Daphnia pulex: one gene and its partner. The protein of the gene in region 1 interacts with the protein of each later gene in a pairwise test. Links are inferred from orthologs where the notes say so. Each region holds a gene or a part of one and is shown on either strand. Other genes may lie near its edges. The genes, in order: cleavage stimulation factor subunit 3-like and cleavage stimulation factor subunit 2-like.

Region 1 (9,926 bases):
AAGAATGGCAAGAATGATTAGCTGATCTGTGGCAAAGATTAAATTCCAAAGCATTTTCACTGTTTCTTTGGGGGTCGGCAACCAAACGGGAACCACTTGCAAGTCTTCCCCTTGTGTTTCCGTCATTTCTTCCGATCCTTGAATCTCTTTTTGTTCAGTTTTTGTTATGTAGAAATTATCGAATGAGAGTGGACCCCAAAGGTAAAAGCAAAGGTAGCCAACTGGCCAAAATAAGAGTCCCATGGCAGCCGTTAACTTGAGAACGTAGTCGATAGTAATGTCGTAAATCTTACGAATAAATTCGGAAGTGTTACGAAGGCTTCTCAAAATAGAAGTCCAAGTCCCGTTTAACTTATTCTCGACATTAGAGGTGGCATGGAGTTCAAATAATATGCCCACGCGCATTCGAATAGCTCCACTCGCCAAACTTCCCAGACGCTCCCGAAGACTCATTAACATTTCAGTGATCTTCTCCGGTCCCAGATTTTGGCAAGGTCCTCTGCTTAATGTCATCAACCTTAGACAAATTTCTTCCGAGATGTCTACGATATCGCAAAGGGCGTCCGCTCCTTTAAGGAGACAATCTTTTTTGGCTGCTTTTGTAGCGTTCAAACATATTTCAAAAGGTTTGGAAAAGCTTTGCTGACAGCTAATTCCTTTGCTCTCCAGCCACTTGAATCCAATTTCAATCGCGTCACGAAATTGATGTTGAGTTCCATTGACGTTGTTGAACTTGGCTGCGATATCGACAACACCTGTGTTCACCTGATTCATATGATGTTGTTGAAAAACTGAACTGTTACGTATGAGCTGTGCCGAATAAATCGTTTCGTTCTGCAAACAATCGACTGCTGTCAGCGGAATAATCGTCAGTTCTCTAATGTGACACAGGGATTGGATTATTTCTGTGTAAGCTAAGGCTTTCACAAAAACGTGAGCAGTAAATCCACTAGGCATGGTCCCCACAAGAGATAAGCAGCATTCTAGGAAAGGCCGCAGCGAGATGGGCGTAAAGTGCCAGGCAGTTCCGATGACCAAACCAGTTCCGAAAAAGAATCCTCCCGTTGTTGCAGCAAAACAAAATGGTTGGGCGCTGATCGCATTTCGTCCACACAAAAGATCACCAACACGGAAAGAGTAGATATATGATCCAATGGTGAACCAAAAGAACACGCTGACGACCACTGTGAATCTTTTTCTATCTGTCGTGAACATAAACATTTTTAAGCAACACACAGATCCATTAAAACTAAACTAATAATGTGTTGAATGAACATCAAGTTGTCACACACACACACACTAAGTTTAAAATTAAGCTTAACCTTACTTCTGTGACTTTTAAGACTGGACTGATTGGCAGGCCTGAGTTATCACTGCAGCAATTCTGAAATAAAATTTAAAAAAAGAAATGTTATTTACCGGATATGAACGGAAACTCTAAAATGCGCTAGAAACTATTATGTAATAACTTTTACCAATTAAATATTTACATTTTTTCACTACAAAATGTTGTAAATCGTTAGGAAACTAAAGCAGTAAGAATAACGAATCGATAGTTCAGGTAAGTAAAATAAGCTTAGTTTTTCGATCCGCAAATCATAAAACACAGGATTTTACAACACCAATCCTTTATGAAACAACAAGCCTACATTCATTAATTTTTTCAATACCACTTGACACTATAATACTTTGAACCTTTTGATCATATTTATCAATGTAAATAAAGAACGAATTTTTTCACTTGGTTTTTCGGAAATCTTTAGCCTCTTAATCTAAATTTTGTAACAAGATATACTTCACACATGTGTTTGATTTACATTTGACGATACGTACTGTTATTTTATTTTTTAATATTCTAATCTTGTTCATGGGGGGGGGGGGGGAAATAGGTCATTTTACTCCGCAAGAAACGTTTCTTGTGAAATAAAAATGACGTCTAAACGGTTATCAATTGACAGTAGATAAAATAATGTCTTCGTTCCCAAAAATTGGTAAACAGACATCGTTCCGAATGGGATTGGCTGATAAGCTGCAATAACGTACTTTTCTATACCCCAAAATCGCTGAAACCCTTTCGTCATTCAAATTGTTATGTTACCATGGACTGCTAATGAAAAATCTAGACCAAGGACTTCCAAACGAGTTTTGATCTAGTTTTTACAGCTAGCGGGTCTGAAGGAAGAGCGTGGTCGGCATAAAAGAAGCTCGCAGTGTTCAAAATTGTGGCAGCATCGTCGGATCTCTCACCATTTGAAGTGCTACTTCCTATCGTTTATAACATAGGCATTAAGACGACATGTCTTATACACTGACTCCAAAAGCGACTTTCTTCCTGTTGGTTATCTTAACATTGACCCTTATTGAGAGCGCTGTTTCGGTTTCACTCACTAAACGCCATATTCCAGGCCGAGTTCCAGGTCGCCCAAGAAAGGTAGTAGGCGGATTCTCACCGATCGACGTGGACGATCCCAACGTCAAGGAAATAGCCGAATTTGCTACAAGTGCCATATCGGAGAGCAGCAATTCTGGGCCTTTATCACTAATCAAAATAGTCAAAGCTGAATCCCAAGTAGTGGCCGGAAGGAATTATAAATTGATCCTAGAGCTCAGTAGCGTCGTTGACGGGGCTAGCGAGACCGAAGAAACCCTTTGCGAAGTGATTGTTTTCCATCAGCCATGGACGCAAACACGGAAACTGAGCAAGTCAAACTGTTTACCAATTAAAGTAATTCATTCTTGGACCGAAGCTCGTGAACTGGGAGCTTCTGTGAACTGTCAAAAACCACAAATCGAAGCTGTTCCTGACACTCCGGCGATGATGGTCGGTGGCTTCTCGCCGATCGACACCGACGACGCTTCAGTCAAAGAAATGGCTAATTTTGCTACAACTAGAATATCAGAAAGCAGTAATTCGGGGCCATTAGCATTGATCAAAGTTGTAAAAGCAGAATCGCAGGTTGTAGCCGGTAAGAATTACAAACTAACTCTGGAGCTGGGTAGTGCTGCCGATGGAGCCGTAGGAAGTAATCTTATTTGCAATGTACTCGTTTTTCATCAATCGTGGACTCACACACTTGAACTGAAGGAGTCCAATTGTTTGGCGCCGATCGAAGCCGAGACTGACATAGTAACTGAAATACTGCGAGCTATTGACGGACGTGAAGACTTGTCGAGAATGGCTGGTTATCTAAATGCGTCTCGTGAAACCTTGATAAAAGAGTTTCCTCTCACCAGTTCTGGTAATTACGAAAAATGTTCATAGTTGCATTTTAGAATTAAGTGAATTTAATATTAAATACTAACTATTTATCCTATTTGACTGAACGGGAAAAAATAGACGGAAGAAAATTGGGCTACACGTTATTTGCACCCACATCGATGGCTTTCATGATGCAAATGCCGCAAGACGCTGGCGATCCTCTCGTAATGGACGCCGATTTTCGCCGGTCGGTACTGATTCGCCATTTTGTTCGCGAGGATGTTTCGTCGGACGATATAGGGAAATTGGACAAGCTCGTCATGGCCGACTCTAACGAGGTTATTTTCACAAGCAAGAGCGCAAATGAATTATGCAACCTACCTCCAATAGACAGCGATGGATCTGAATGTGAAGCATACATCCCGTCATGGACGTTCCAGCCAAATTCCGGCAGATGTGAGAACTACGTATACGGTGGCTGTTTCAAGACGAAAAATCTTTTTGAAACAGAAGAAGAATGCCAAGCCGCCTGTGATCCAGCAGTCCGTAAGTTAGTTATTTAAATAAAAAATTATTAAACATTAAAAATGAAATAAAAACATATTTACTGGATTGATTTGAACTTCTCTAAAAAAAAATCGGCTGCAAATCTTCCTAAATTCAATTAAAATTTGTTTTAGGATGATTTTACAGAAAAACTGAATCACTGCTTATTTTGACTTCTTTTTTCTAGATCCTTTAACACAGCTGGTAAACGAGACAGAAATCCAACAGGTAGCCATTCAATTGGAAAAAGATTTGGGAACCATTTACGCCATTGATCGAGTTTTCATGAGTGGTGATGAAGTTGGCGAAATCCTTCGTATTAAACATCCTAGTCCCGGTCCATTTGGATTTTTCGGAATGCCAATTGAAATACAACCAGAAGTCAATGAGAACATTCCTGCTAGAATCACTGGCGGATTTTCTACTATCGACGTGGACGACGCCTACATAAAGGAGATCGCCGATTTCGCCACAACCGCCATATCTGCAAATAATAACTCAGGACCTGTCCGATTGATTAGGATTATCAAAGCAGAATCGCAGATTGTGGCCGGAAAAAATTTTAAATTGACTCTTAAACTTAACAGCGCTATCGACGAAGTTGATTCCCTCCTGTGCGATGTGGTCGTATTCGATCAATCGTGGTCACAAACCCGACAATTAAAAAAATCGAATTGTTTGTCGATAAATACTGTCGTTTTATGGAACCAAATTCTCAAACAGGAAAATGACTCGTTACCGAATTCACAAGTTACAGAGTTACATAGTTTGTTTTAGGTAACCGTTACCAAATAGCAAATACAAACTTGGTCAACGTACGCTGACGAGGTTGTGCCAAACTTTCTAGTTCCTTGGTTTAAATAATATACCCCCCCCCCCCAAAAAAAAACCCCACACAAACACATGTTCATTTCTCGATAAATGTTTGTTTAAATACAATGCTTTTCACACCTGCAATAATTGTTGAAATTGCTGCTAACGTTGGATAAAGTATTTCCCTATTACAACATTAATTTTGGCAGATAACAAAACTAACATTATAGTATCATCACCAGGGTTTAACCTGTAAGAATTGCTGGTCACGTTGCAATCATCTTGATTTGAGTAGTACAATTCAAACTGAAAATAAATGAAACTGATGTTTACCTACAGAGATGGGTGCCATTTTCGAGGAAGTATAACAAGGACAGACCTGTGCTCACGTAACTTCACATGAAATAGACCCTATCCTAGAATGAATGATTTCTGCCATCTGTTTGTTTCTCAAATCTCAGAGTTAATGGCAGAACCGCAGAGGCAGAATGCAAATGCACACACCCTGCTATATTATTTTTGCAAGTTCTCTCACTGACGACTGACTCATTTCTGAGCAGTTCTCTTCCTTCGAATTTTCGTACCAACCAGCCGTAACGCCATCTCTGGAGCTTGCCGGCAGGCTCTTTTGCAGGCTTGATGCTTGATGCAGACGATGTTATTTCAAAAGCAGTAAGTTGTCAAGTGTGACTTGTTTGCGATTTTGAATGGAATTGTAGAAACGTGGTTCATCAATTTATAAACAATTTTCAGCTTACTGGCATTAAAATAAACAAATGGCTGATAAATTAGCAAGAGCCGAGAAGGCTATAGAATCGAATCCATTTGATTTGGAAGCTTGGGGTCAAATTTTGCGTGAAGCCCAAATACGCAAGATTGATGATGCTCGAACTTACTTTGAACGCTTGGTGGCCCAGTTTCCGACATCAGGTCGTTATTGGAAAATGTACATTGAACAAGAAATGCGAGCAAGAAACTATGATAAAGTCGAAAAGGTAGCAATTAATTTAGCACATTCTAATGAAGCCATTCAATCTTGCTCCTCCCTATTTTTAGCTGTTTCAACGATGCTTGGTCAAGGTTTTAAACATTGAACTGTGGAAATTGTATGTTAACTATGTGAAAGAAACCAAAAGTGCTCTGCCCAACTACAGGTACAACAAACTTGAATATACAAACACTAAATATTGTTTTCTTTAATCATACCAATGTTCACAGAGAAAAAATTGCTCAATGCTACGATTTTACACTGGACAAAGTTGGGATGGATATTCAGTCATACAGTATTTGGAATGACTATATTCACTTCCTCCGTAATGTTGAAGCTGTTGGATCTTATGCTGAAAATCAAAGGATCACGGCTGTGAGGAAAGTGTATCAAAGGGGTGTAATCACTCCAATGCTTAACATTGAACAACTATGGAAGGATTACATTGCTTATGAATTGGCTATTAACCCCATGATTGCTGAAAAGATGCAACAGGTACAGTTTTTTTTTTTTTAAACCTTACCCTAACACTTTTTAAACACTTATTTTCAATTATTTAGGAGCGCAGCCGTGATTACATGAATGCTAGAAGAGTTGCCAAAGAACTAGAGGCCTGCACTCGCGGTCTTAACAAGGCTATGCCTTCGACTCCTCCATCCAATCATCCGGAACAAAACAAACAGGTGGAACTGTGGAAGAAGTATCTGGCTTGGGAGAAATCGAATCCCCTCCGTACGGAAGACCAGTCACTACTCACTAAGAGAACAATGTTCGCTTTCGAACAATGTCTCCTATGTCTGGGACATCATCCTCATGTTTGGTATGAAGCTGCCCTTTTTCTACAGATTAGCACAAAAACTCTTTCAGATAAAGGGGTAAGTTAAAGCACCAATTTCTGTCAATATTCTTAAATTTAAAGATTCTTTTTAGGATGTTACGGCTGCCAAGAACTTAGCTGAAGAAGTCTCAAATATTTATGAACGATCAATTAATGGGCCCATGTCACATAATAGTTTGCTTTATTTCGCTTATGCGGATTACGAAGAGGGACGAATTAAGTACGACAAAGCTCATCAGATCTATACAAAATATTTGGAGCAGCATGACATCGACCCAACTTTGGTAATTTTATCACTTTTTACATTGTACATACAAACCCCTTATGTTTAAAACATTCGCAGGGTTATATTCAATATATGCGATTTGCAAGGAGAGCAGAAGGTATTAAATCGGCTCGACTAGTGTTCAAGAGATCTCGCCAGGATCCCCGCTGTTCTAGCCATGTTTTCGTAGCTGCTGCCTTAATGGAATATTATTGCACCAAGGACAAAAATATCGCCTTTAAAATATTCGATCTAGGCCTCAAACGTTTCAAGCATCAACCTGATTATCTGCTTGCTTATGTGGAATTCTTGACCCAACTAAATGAAGATAACAACACTAGAGTTCTCTTTGAAAGGATTCTTTCATCAGGTTCCCTCACTTCTGAAAATTCGCTTGAAATTTGGAACCGCTTCCTCGAATTTGAGTCTTCTATTGGTGATCTTTCGAGTGTAATCAAAGTAGAAAAAAGACGCAACGCCGTTCTCGACAAGGTATTTTTTATTTTATTTTTTTTTTCATTTAGTGTTGTGTATTTTTGGATTCATTTCAATTGTGTTATTTATTTTAGCTTAAGGAACTGGAAGGTAAAGAAACAGCACTTCTTATTGATCGGTATAGATTTGGAACCCTCTTCCCTTGCTCAGCCGCGGATTTAAGGTGAGTTTCTTATGTTACTTGATAACTTTTTTCTAATATTTGTTTTTAATGATTCTCTTAAAAGGGCTTTGGGATACTACGAAGTAGCAGAGCTGAGTAGTAGTCAAAATGCTAAAAACCTCCTTGCTAGAGAGGAAGAAAGTAGAAAACAAAGCACAGAAGCGGCTGATGTTACCATGTACAAGCCCGATTTTTCTCAGATGGTTCCGTTCAAGCCGAAGATGCAATGGACCCCCGGAGAACACATTGCGCCTGGTAAAGTTTCTACAAAGTATTTCTAGATTACAACTTAACGAATTCTTTGATGCGTTTGGACAGGAGGAGGATTTCCGCTTCCACCTGCAGCCTCTCAACTGTGCGGAATGTTACCGCCTCCGCATTGTTTCCACGGTCCTTTTGTAGTAGTCGATCCAGTAATGGAGCTTATTAAACATTTGAATATAAGCGAAACAAGTAATACTTTGATTTCCCTTGGCTGTATTATATTTTTAAACATTAACATTTATTGGTGTATTTTAGGTTCTCTTCTTGCAAATACAGCGGAAAATTCTAAACTATTTGACATGGCTCGAAGTGTTCATTGGCTTCCGAAAGATACGGGTGTCGATCGTCCACAAAAAAAGAGAGGGGTGGGTGAAGAGTCTGAAGATGAGGAGCCGATCGCCATTAGTGGATCTCAGCCTGGTGGACCGCCACCAAATGATATTTACAGGAAACGACAACAGAAGCGAGTCAAGTGATGAAAGAATTTACTTGATCAATATTCAAAACACAAATACACACATAATTGTTTACACCATCCATAATCAAATCATTTCTGATAAAAGTTTTCTAGTAATTTTTGAACTCGCCACAACATGACTTCATTAGTACCAGAACAATTTTCTGGTCTGTAAGGGGGGCCTACTACTATTTCATTTAGCACTAGTAAACAACCATAATTATTTTCATTCACTGGAATACGGCTTTCATGAAACCATTTTTTCAGGGCATCTTTCAGCGGCTTCCAATCTTCAGTATGTTGGGAGCTAGCTCCAGGTCCTTGCATTCCATTGTTCTCTTGCGTAAGGGTTCTGGTATTGGTTGATGTTAATTTTACAATCTTGAGATACTTAATTGAATTTCCAATAACTAATTTTATGCTTCTTTCTTCTTGGTTACAACGATCGACCATCATAAAAAGACTAAAAATGAAAGATTCAAAAGAAATGTTAAACTATGGCTTCATATGCATGCATTGTTGTCTTAAACTTTGTGGTTTCTACTAACCTTCCACTTATTGGATCCATTGAGTAGATTTGTCCAACAAACTTGACATGATTAATTGTTAAAACTTCGACTCTGCTACCGACTAAATTTATATAATTAGCCGGACATTTTTCTAAGGGATATTGTAACACACATCCTTCTGCAAGTTCCATTTTCAAAACTGTTATGATGCGAACGATGACCTAGTGCTCCACCATACGGATAAAAATTGCAACTAAAACTGCCTTATTGCAACTTTTGCTATCCTTAAATTTCTTAAAATACATTCATTAAAAAATGATTTCTCAACCAGCTTCAGTTTTATATTCTAAATTTGGACTGGTTCAGACGAAATATAATTTAATTCGTGAACAATCGTGAATCTGTTTGAAATCATGGTCATGGTTGGGGTTGCCCATGGGCAACCATCGCGAGCAGCCGAAATAAATGTAAACAGTTGCTTCGAATTTTTACCTTCTCAATTTTCTATCGAAACCTAAAAGGTTTTAGAAAACATAAACCATGAAGATTCCTGCACCTTATTTATGGTTCTCTGCTGTTGGAGCATTTGGTGGCGGGATCATACTGGTCAAGTAAAAAAAATTGTCTAAAGTTCAGCAAATCTTGCTGCTAGACCTAAAATATTCATGTTGTTTTAGAGAATATTTCAGTGGAACTAGATATGAAGGTAAAGAAAAATTAGACGGAAAAACAGTGATTATTACTGGGGCTACTGATGGAATTGGAAAGGAAACAGCTAAAGATCTAGCTAAAAGAGGAGCAAAAGTATATATGGCCTCTCGTGATATGAAGAAGTGTGAAGAAATTAGAAAAGAATTTGTCCTTGAAAGTGGGAACAAATTCATCTATTGCCGAAAATGTGACCTAGCATCACAGGAATCAATCAGACAGTTTGCTTCAAGATTTAATTCTGGTATTTTTCTTATATGATTCCCTTTTGTGGCAAATGTACTTAACTATTTTCTAGAGGAATCAAAGTTGCATATCCTTATTAACAATGCCGGGGTAATGCGTTGTCCTCGTAGTTTAACTCTCGAAGGTATCGAGATGCAGATAGGGGTAATATACGATACAATAAAATTGAGTTTCTCCAATATCTCAATACAATAATAAATTTTTACAGGTAAACCATTTTGGTCATTTTCTTCTTACCCATCTGTTGCTTGATAAACTTAAAGTAAGAATTAATATTTAAAAATGATGTCATACCTATTTTAAAAGCGCTGTATTAATAGCAATCCGCACCCAGTCGAATCATTAACGTTTCAAGCGTGGCCCATTTAAGAGGAAAAATAGATTTTGATGACCTCAACTCGGAAAAAAAGTACGATCCTGCAGCAGCTTACGAAC
Region 2 (9,460 bases), on another chromosome or scaffold:
TGTTTTTTGCTTTGCAAGTGGTATCTTGTGTTGCTGACTTTAAAAATTTTTATCCGTTTTTATTTGTGGTTTTGCTCTGCCAGTGAGTTGCTTACTTGAATTGGTTTCGTCTGTCGTCTTTTGCGTTTTTACTTGTGCAGTATGATTGTGGCAATCTGACCCAATGTCAGATTTGACATAGTCGACAACTGCTAGATTAAATTCCGGCTTTCTGCACCAACAAAATAATAACGGCACATGTTATTATCGCGGTTGGGAAAGTCACAGGCCCCCCCCTCCCTGGGGGCCATAAAATATATGTGTTTGCGTTAAAATGAATAAAAATATTAGATGAATATAAAAATTGTTTTAATTTATTAAAAAAAAAGGTATGGACAATGTACATCGCCAAATTTTTGCGAAAAAGACTTAGTAAAATAATAAATGGTGGTTGTTTTTAGGAAAATTTAAAAAAATAATAAAAATTTGGACAGGAAATTATGTAAAAGTAATATTTTTAAGCGCATGGGGCTTAATTGGTTAGGACAAGCCGCGACTTTGTTATAAGGCGATTTGTAATAGTAAATAGTAATATACAGCAGAAAACAATTCTGATTACAACAATTTATTTTTTTAACGAGGTAATAATATTGATTAAGAGCGAAATGTTTAAGAATCGTTATGAAGGCGGTAGAGTTCATCGGAATAAAAGAATCTTGGTGGTTTAACTTCTCTTTCTCGTTGCAATTCCCCATTCTATCATAACACTCCTGGTTTTCAAACTAACCAACAGGACATTTCGTTTACTTAGGGAAAAGGGACAATAGATTTTCATTTTTAATTATCTACTGATTTATCAGTCTTGAATTTCAGCAACTCCTCAACTTCAACAATATATCAAGTCTGAAACGGCGGCACACGATCGAACTGAAACGAAAGAAAAGAGATTAAGTTCCGAGTCGATAATAAAATAAAATTTTTCATCCATCATTACCTTAACGTGGGTAAATGTAGCAAGAGACGACACCAAAATGTAAGACGACCATCAGGCAACACCAACTATTTCACACAAAAGTTCATGGACACCAACATGGTAAATTGAAGTCAGTTGAACTGCAGGTCTGCAGAAGATCCATTTCACTTTCAGTGCAACTTTCAATCAGAAAATGACTGCCACACCACTGTACGCCAGACATCACCACCAACAGCTTCAACGCCAAACTGACCCGAGGAATCTACAATGCAAAGGAATATCAGTTAACCAAGAACATTTTCAAACTAGTATAAAAAGGGAAATTCAGTTCTGTTAGAGTAAAGCTACTGTTTAACAAAATTACAATTTTACACAAGCTGATGAAAAACTTTTCACAAAGGCCCTTATTTGAAGCAGTTATTGTCAAATGTTATCTAAATCAAAATTTTATACTCAACTCAAGAAATTTCTAAGCAAAGAACAAATACACAGGCTACAGTTTGAGTAAAATGCAAACCCACTTTAGTTGTCTTTCAAGTAAATTGTTTCCATTTCAGATTTCCTGTTTTCTTCCCATTTTCATCTCGCAACATGATACATCAAAGGCATCTTGTAGATTTGGCACTAGACATTGAGAAAAATCTCCATCAACCTGCCAACAAATAAGTAAGATTAGTAAAATAAACTTTTCTAATTATTATTAACTAGAATGCATGTTTTCGCAAGCTCGATTCAAGTGCATCTCTCAACAGAAAAAATTCGCAAAACAAATCACAGAAGATATTTGCAACTAACGTGTAACTTTTGATTACAAAAGTGTGGTAATTTGTAATTAAAAAAACTCAATTTCTATCAGAAACTCAATCACGGTATTTTTATGTGGTAACAAAGTCTTAGGATTATTAAGTTACTCGACATTATTACTTGCACTGTTCTAAAGTACTTTGACGTGTGACAAAACGTGCAGCATGCAGCAAGAGACGACATTTTGAAATAGTGTACAGCAGGGCATGGCCACATGGAATTTGCAAGTATAAGTTTAAGGCCATGTTATCCATAAAAAACATTCACATTAAGGATAAAAGCAGGAATTACCTTTTTTTTATGAAGAACAATGTCAGGAAAGAAAGTACCCAGCAATGATGTCTAGAGTAACCTTCTCGGCCAGCGTCTCGGAAGAAAAAGAATGATTATAGGTTTTTCGTCTCAAAACTATGGAGACCCTCCTTCCAATTCCAATACATGAATACATCCCTCGAACACACTAGGGCTGAATAGTTTAATCCCTAAACACACTGAAATATTTAGCCACCTAGTGACAGCACTTAGCATCCACGGACGAAGACGATAGTCAGTAATAGACCTTTTTCACAATGCGGAAAGTCGGGATTTTCCAATCTGGCAACGCCGTAATCGGCCATTTTAGATTTCATTAATTTTTCCCTGTGTAAATTCCCATAAGGAATCGGGGTACCTTTAGTTTAAATTAATTTTTTAATTATTGGTGTCTTACAGCCAATTTATTTTTCATCGATCGTGTTCCCCGATTAATGGGTAACATTTTCATGTATTTTTACATTTTAACATTAACTACTTATTATATTATCAGCACTTGAACTTGTTTGTTTTGATTCAGTTCCTGATGAGGGCATCAACAACAAAGGAAACTGGGTTTACTGATTCGAGTTTTTCAATTGATTTACGCATTAATTTTTGTCTATTGTTAAGTTTAATCGCAAAGAGGGACTGAAAAATTCCTTTAAAAGTATTTGGGGTAAATTAGTTTAAAATGTACTAATTCAACTTGATTTCTTCAACATTTTGTTCCATACTCTGACGTTTTCACCATATTACCTGATTCATTAGCGTTATTTCGTTAGTATTTTAAGAAAACTCACAGTTCTTTTTTCGAGTGAAACATTGTATTAAACATGAAATAAAGTTTTAAATAAAAATACTGAAGACGTGACGTGACACTGCTTCAACTAGTAATTATTTCTCATTTTTCAATATTTTTTATTCGAAGAACCAATGACTGTTTTGCGGATTCTGATTGTTAGTTGATTCACCAATGTGTTGATGTGTTCATCAAACGTGTTCTGCATTGTACCCTCAGGTACAGTTGTATCTTTCATGAAATCAGTAACTGTGTCTTGTGGAATGTGTGTCTATGGAAGAAAATGATGAGATATGTTAAGTAATGTTATAAATGACATAATAAATATAAATAAAATACAATCCTCTTACATCGTTGAACATGTCCCAGCAATCTGCCTTCTTAGAGAGCGACTAATTCTTTCAACAGTAGCAATCCCAATGGAATTTTGCTCATTATTAGATGTTGGTGCTGCAGTTAAAAACATGTTACTTAGTTACATATTTCAGAGACATATTTCAAACATGACTCAATCATAGAAATTACTTTAAAAAATTTACTATGTTACCAGAAGTAAAATCTTGACTGCATACTCTGCTGTATATTTTTATAAACCTTTTTCTCTCGAATTTGTTCTTTTCAGCAGCCATATACCTGTCTCCTACTTTTTGAAACCCCATATTCTAGATGTCCATTAACATTCACTTTTGAGAAGCAAAAGTTACAGCACCGTAGGCAAGCACATAACATGTCTGTTTTGACATTCCAGAATCAAAACAACCTAATAAAGTTCGAATTACATAATTAATATAAACCGCAAGTAAAATGTACCATATATGAAAATGTTACCCATCAATCGGGGAACACGATCGATGAAAAATAAATTGGCTGTAAGACACCAATAATTAAAAAATTAATTTAAACTAAAGGTACCCCGATTCCTTATGGGAATTTACACAGGGAAAAATTAATGAAATCTAAAATGGCCGATTACGGCGTTGCCAGATTGGAAAATCCCGACTTTCCGCATTGTGAAAAAGGTCTATAAGAATGTCCGCTCTAGCTCGTTGACACACTTAATTGAAATTGAAATAAACCAACAATAAAAGGCAAATAACTTTGTTACTCACGTAATATAATATTCTCCCCTTCAAATTTGTATAAAGTCTTCACCAAAAAGCCACCACCTCAGCATCACAACAGACGAAATCCCAAGGTGATGATGCTTGAGTTGTCTGCTGTTTGACAGAAGTTTGCTTCCGATATTCGATTCGGAAACGCAGCGTCTCATCCAGTTCTGCCTTAATTACGTTAAATACGTTAACATTGATCATCATATTTTGAATTAAACCAACTTAACTATTTATTAATGGCTACCGATCCCCAAGTTGTAATTGACAAATCTTTGCGATCCGTCTTTGGTAACAGCCAATCTTAGATCACTGTGTCTGCTGTGTGATGCATTTTCTATTTTTTTTATTTTTAGTGGGAAACATTCCTTATGATGTCACGGAAGAGAAACTCAAAGATATTTTCAGTGAAGCTGGGCCAGTAGTTTCATTCAAGTAATTTTACATCTGATAAATGTAATTTGTATCCTTCCTAAACTTCTTAATATAAAGGATTGTTTATGATCGTGAAACTGGAAAGCCCAAAGGATATGGATTCTGTGAGTATCGTGATCAGGAGACAGCTCTTTGTGCAATGAGAAACCTTAATGGCTATGAAATAGCTGGAAGGACATTGAGAGTTGATAATGCTTGCACAGAAAAATCGCGGCTTGAAATGCAAAGTCTAATGCAGGTTTGAAATTAAGTTGTACATTATTCTTTAAAAATAATTTAAAGATTAGCATACTCAAACTTAGGAAAAAACAACAGAGAGCCCCTATGGTGATGCTGTTGACCCAACTCAAGCACCTGAAATGATTTCAAAGGCTGTGTCATCTCTTCCACCTGAGCAGATGTTTGAGCTGATGCAACAGATGAAACAGTGCATGCAAAATAACCCCAATGAAGCCCGCCAGATGCTTTTGCAGAACCCGCAACTTGCCTATGCCCTACTCCAAGCCTTGGTCGTCATACGCGTAGTTGACCCCAGCACTGCACTTAGCATGCTGCAGAAGGGTCCGGGCCAGACCGACGTGGGAATGGGAGGACAGCACTTTGCCAAAACATCCAACTTTCCAATGCCAAGTAACGAACCTTGGGTTTCAACCTCGGGTCCCAAACAGGGACTCCTTGGAGATCGCCCTTTTACTGGTATTTTGTAACCAGTGACCTAGCGTCACTGCAAGAGGCATGCACTGACATTAGTTTTTAGGTCAAGATTTGGATTTACGTCATGCTGATCCTCGAATGGTACGAGGCGACCACGATTTGCGAGTACCACCGGCCGCTCCCATGGCTGTAGGAGGAATAGGACTGCCACCAACGATGCAGCAACAGCCGCCCGCAAGGCCTGCACAGACTATGCCTGAGATGGATTCGTAAGTTTACGAGCTGCAATTTTAGTGAGGAACTTCATACTGATTTAACAGCATTTCATTTTTACATTAGGAGGCGTGACCCGCGTTCCAGTGGTCCAACCGGTCCACGCGACCCACGAGCAGGGATGAGCAGGCCGGGTCCCGGTGTACCTCCTATTCCAGCATCTCAGCCAAACGTTCCTCCACCTGTTTTACCTAGCGGGGGAGGTGGACTTAATGTGCCAGTTGCTGCTGCTCCTACAGCAGGAGCTATTGGACGTGCACTGGGGCCAGGAACTTCAGATCAAGAAAAAGTATGTTCAAGACAAAAAAGCTCGTTTGCGATAATAATTTTGATGGTTTCTTTTAGGCTGCTCTGATTATGCAAGTCCTTCAACTGTCTGATGAGCAAATCGCTCTACTTCCACCAGAGCAGCGCCAGAGCATTATGGTTCTTAAGGAGCAAATTGCTAGAAGCAATCGTTAACAGTTCCAATATGATTTGTGTTGACACAGAATCGAAGGATTTAATAAATTGCAACAAATTTTCGGTTGCAAAATGGAATCGTCTCTTTGTCATCAAATGTGTGTAGTACAGATGCAATTGTGAAGCCAAAAAAAAAGAGAAAACAAATAACTAAAAAGGAAGAAAGTAGGAAGACTAGAAAACTAACCTGTTGTACAATTGGCATTTAACTGCTGCTTCGTTATGGTGACTGATGCTCCAATAATTGTGAGAATCAAGCTATCTCAATGACTATTCGATAAGTAACAAACAGGTTAGGTATAATCATCAAGGCGAGATAAAGTTTAACATGGATTTCTTAGAATTCATCGAATTGGGGAGCCAGCGCAAAAAAAAACTTAACAATCGAATGATAAAGAAAAAATATATAGATATATTCCCTTATTTTAACTCTGTCGACATTGGATGGCTGCGCGAGGATCTTCGTCCTGATCATCGTCTGGAGATGAGGCTGGACGACGAGGGCGAACTGTAATATCCGGCATGGCATCCTCAGCCGTCGCACCCATGTTCATAAGAAACATTTCGAAAGGGTCGGCATTCATGCGTCGTTGATTGGCCATCGCTGCTGATTCCGCGTCAAGTACCACACTCCCCAAACGATCTGAGACGACTCTTTCCTTACGGTTTAGAATGAAATTATATTAAATACTGTTGACTAATAAATAATTCAAAAATAAAATTTTTTAATCTGAACCTGTGGTAGCGGAGACCATATGCGAACCACCGAATCGATCCCCGATGAGGCCAACATACATGTGAAAGGATGAGGCTGAAGACAATTAACGATCGATTCATCACCACGCAGCACTCGTTCAACGATTCCAGTGTTACGATCCCAAATAAAAAAACATCCGTCGTCCGATCCAGCTAGAATATACTGCCCGTCGCTAATAGACATCAAACATTTGGTTAAATATTATTTTTCCAATTTTGTAGAGAACTAAACAAAACTCACTTTCCAAAAAAATTGGCTTCTTTAATGTCAGTGGTAGTATTGCAATGACCGCAATAACGGCTGGAGTAGTCCCAGTATTGTGCCCTCCAATTTTTTTCGTTTTCTGTTAAACTCGGAGAATTGACCCCATCTTCCAATAAGTCAGATTCATCATCCAACTCTCCTCTCCGAGCAGTTTCCTTCTCGGAACGTTGTTCTTCAAGCTCAAGCTTTTTCTGGACTTCGACATGAAGAGTATTGAATGTGGAACTATTGGCTTGTTGAGGAAATCTTTCCCTGAGCAATTTGAATGCCTGGTCGGCCAAAACCACTTGGCCAAGATCTAATAGACAGCGTGCTAACCGGTGAAAGGGTTTGATTTGGTTAGGGTCGATCTTCAATGCACTAATGCAATCCTTGAGAGCAGCATACGTGTCTCCGTCCCTAATTATTCAGAACAATCGATCAAAACACATTCACGGCGCCACAAAACTAAAAAAAAAATTCTTTCGTTACCAATTACGTTTCATGCAAGCTGTTGCGCGATTACTGTACAAGACTGGCGAATTTGGTGCTTTGATGAGAGCCTGTAAAATCAGAAGAAAAAACATTAACATTAATTGGCCACAATTTAATGATGCTACGCATACTTTGCTGTACAATCCAATGGCTGTAGTGTACTGCCGTTGCTGGAAGGCCGCGTTGGCCTGAATTTTTATTTGTTCTATGTCTGGGGGTAACGTGAAACCTTTAATTCCATTTAAAGGTTCTTTACCCAAAAGAGGCACTTGAGTAATTGGGGGATTTGGTGTTAGGCAATCATACAAATAAATCTGTTCGCCTCCTAAATTCGCCAAAAGATAGCGACCTGACGGATCGAATGTAACATACGTCGACGCTAACGAGCGAAAACGGCGACGGTAATCATCCAACTTCTGAGGCAGATGACCTTAAATATAGATATGCTTTTTTAATGACAAACTTTAAGGTAACTTTTTTTTCATACCCGGAGCGAAATATTGAGCACATCCAAGCGGAATAGCTGAACGACTTTCTTCACTTTGTGAATTAGTTGCCAATGAGTATTGCCTACCTCGGTTGGGCCTTTCTGCGGAAAACTATAATCAATTTGCAGCGCAGAAACATAATGTTACATTAAGAAAGCTAAATCGTTGAAAATGTTTCTATTTACCGGAACAGATGTGATTTTAATCATTCGTCTGTCATACAGGCGGATGAAAGGATCATTAGCTCCAACGACAAGTTGTTCGGTCCGAATGGGATTAATTGCAATCGATTTTACCTGAAGAATATTTTAAATAAAATATTAATAGACCAGGGAATAAATAATGGTTAACCCATGCGCGTAGCCTACTTCAGCCTGTTTTCCCATATGGCTTAATAAATTAATAAGAATGTTGGACGGACCATTCGTACATGTGTGAGGTGTCCTCAAGTCAAATTGCCTAAAGAAAAATCGCGTTGTATTAATATTTTATCATGGAAAGTGTTAACGAACAATTGTTCTCACATCACTGTCCCATCTTCAGCCCCACTCCAAAGTAGGTAAGGGATATCAGGAGCTGTCGCCAAACGCTTGACACGACCAACATGACAATTACACTGCAGACTAGTCTGAGGAGTGGAATTCATAGATTGTGCATGGTCCACCCAATGGATTTTGACTCGTCCATCTCCAGCTGCACTAGCTACTAGGCCATCCATTGATTGTGGCATGAACTATTCATGTTAGAAAAAAGGGTTACATTTTCTGGAAAAAATTATTCAGCAAATAAATTTTTCTCAACATACTTTCACAGAAAAAATATTGCCTTGATGACCTGTAGATACAATAAGTATCAAAATTTAACAAACATACATTTATCTTATATATACCACAAAATACCTGTATCTATATTAGCAATTTTTTTCTTTAAAAATGGATTCCAGAGTATGATGTGAAGGTCATCTGAACCAGATGCTAAAATTGAACCATCACTGTTCCATTCCAGACAGTTAACACAGCCTCCATGACCAGTAAGTTCGTAATCTAGACCAAGTCGGTCAATCAGACTTTTCATGGATGACAACTTAGATTGGTGTACCAGCCGTAATGAGTCCTGCATAACACAAGATTATTTACAGTGGTTCTTGAAATAAAATGGTAATTTTGAATCTACAGCATTTCACAGACTTGCATCACAATAGTTTACAAATATTTAGGTACTGGCAATCTTACGTTTATCTCTTTGGATCTCAAATAACGCATCACCAAAGGATCACTCAACCACTTGTGTTCCTCCATTTTCAAACTTCAATGTGAGTAAAAGTTCTCAAACCGAAAACATGACGTGACAACGAGAAGTTGCTACTTCTTACAAACTACGATTTTTAACCTTAAAATCTTATTAACGACAAGTAGTCGTCTAGACATAGACAGTGGACGTGTGGTCTTCTGAAGAATCAAGACTTGTTATTGTATGGTCAGGTGTGTCACAAAAACTACGCGGATTGTAGATCTAATTTACGCGGAGATTCTTGAAAAACGTTTGATTTCTTTTCTGCACGTAAGCCACTGTTTCGAGTTGCATAAAAATTAAAAATTGATAAATACACACTACAATACAGGCATGAATTACGCAATTTCACGAACTGAAAAAATAGCAAATCAATTATTTTTACCGAAAAAAGTATATAATCTT

Evidence for each region.
Region 2: the proteins of cleavage stimulation factor subunit 3-like (region 1) and cleavage stimulation factor subunit 2-like interact in a two-hybrid assay, tested with the Drosophila melanogaster proteins (2 studies listed by BioGRID). The link is inferred for Daphnia pulex from reciprocal best matches to the Drosophila melanogaster genes su(f) and CstF64.

The regions. Positions count from the first base shown.
Region 1 is NC_060019.1:11,044,843-11,054,768, forward strand, and holds cleavage stimulation factor subunit 3-like, read left to right. Parts: upstream 1-5,183; 5' UTR 5,184-5,334; coding exon 5,335-5,553; intron 5,554-5,614; coding exon 5,615-5,712; intron 5,713-5,776; coding exon 5,777-6,041; intron 6,042-6,106; coding exon 6,107-6,421; intron 6,422-6,476; coding exon 6,477-6,668; intron 6,669-6,727; coding exon 6,728-7,141; intron 7,142-7,218; coding exon 7,219-7,307; intron 7,308-7,371; coding exon 7,372-7,562; intron 7,563-7,625; coding exon 7,626-7,760; intron 7,761-7,826; coding exon 7,827-8,047; 3' UTR 8,048-8,106; downstream 8,107-9,926. Other genes in the region: uncharacterized protein LOC124191294, read right to left, coding at 1-957; uncharacterized protein LOC124191292, read left to right, coding at 2,297-3,239, 3,338-3,745, 3,933-4,522; retinol dehydrogenase 13-like, read left to right, coding at 9,078-9,148, 9,215-9,489, 9,544-9,635, 9,700-9,753, 9,812-9,926. UniProt on the Drosophila melanogaster protein: Essential protein, may play a role in mRNA production or stability.
Region 2 is NC_060018.1:3,669,906-3,679,365, reverse strand, and holds cleavage stimulation factor subunit 2-like, read left to right. Parts: upstream 1-3,872; 5' UTR 3,873-4,197; coding exon 4,198-4,249; intron 4,250-4,314; coding exon 4,315-4,393; intron 4,394-4,450; coding exon 4,451-4,631; intron 4,632-4,695; coding exon 4,696-5,089; intron 5,090-5,150; coding exon 5,151-5,316; intron 5,317-5,386; coding exon 5,387-5,609; intron 5,610-5,665; coding exon 5,666-5,782; 3' UTR 5,783-5,860; downstream 5,861-9,460. Other genes in the region: WD and tetratricopeptide repeats protein 1-like, read right to left, coding at 6,208-6,441, 6,519-6,711, 6,780-7,202, 7,275-7,345, 7,409-7,707, 7,765-7,876, 7,951-8,061, 8,134-8,224 and 4 more.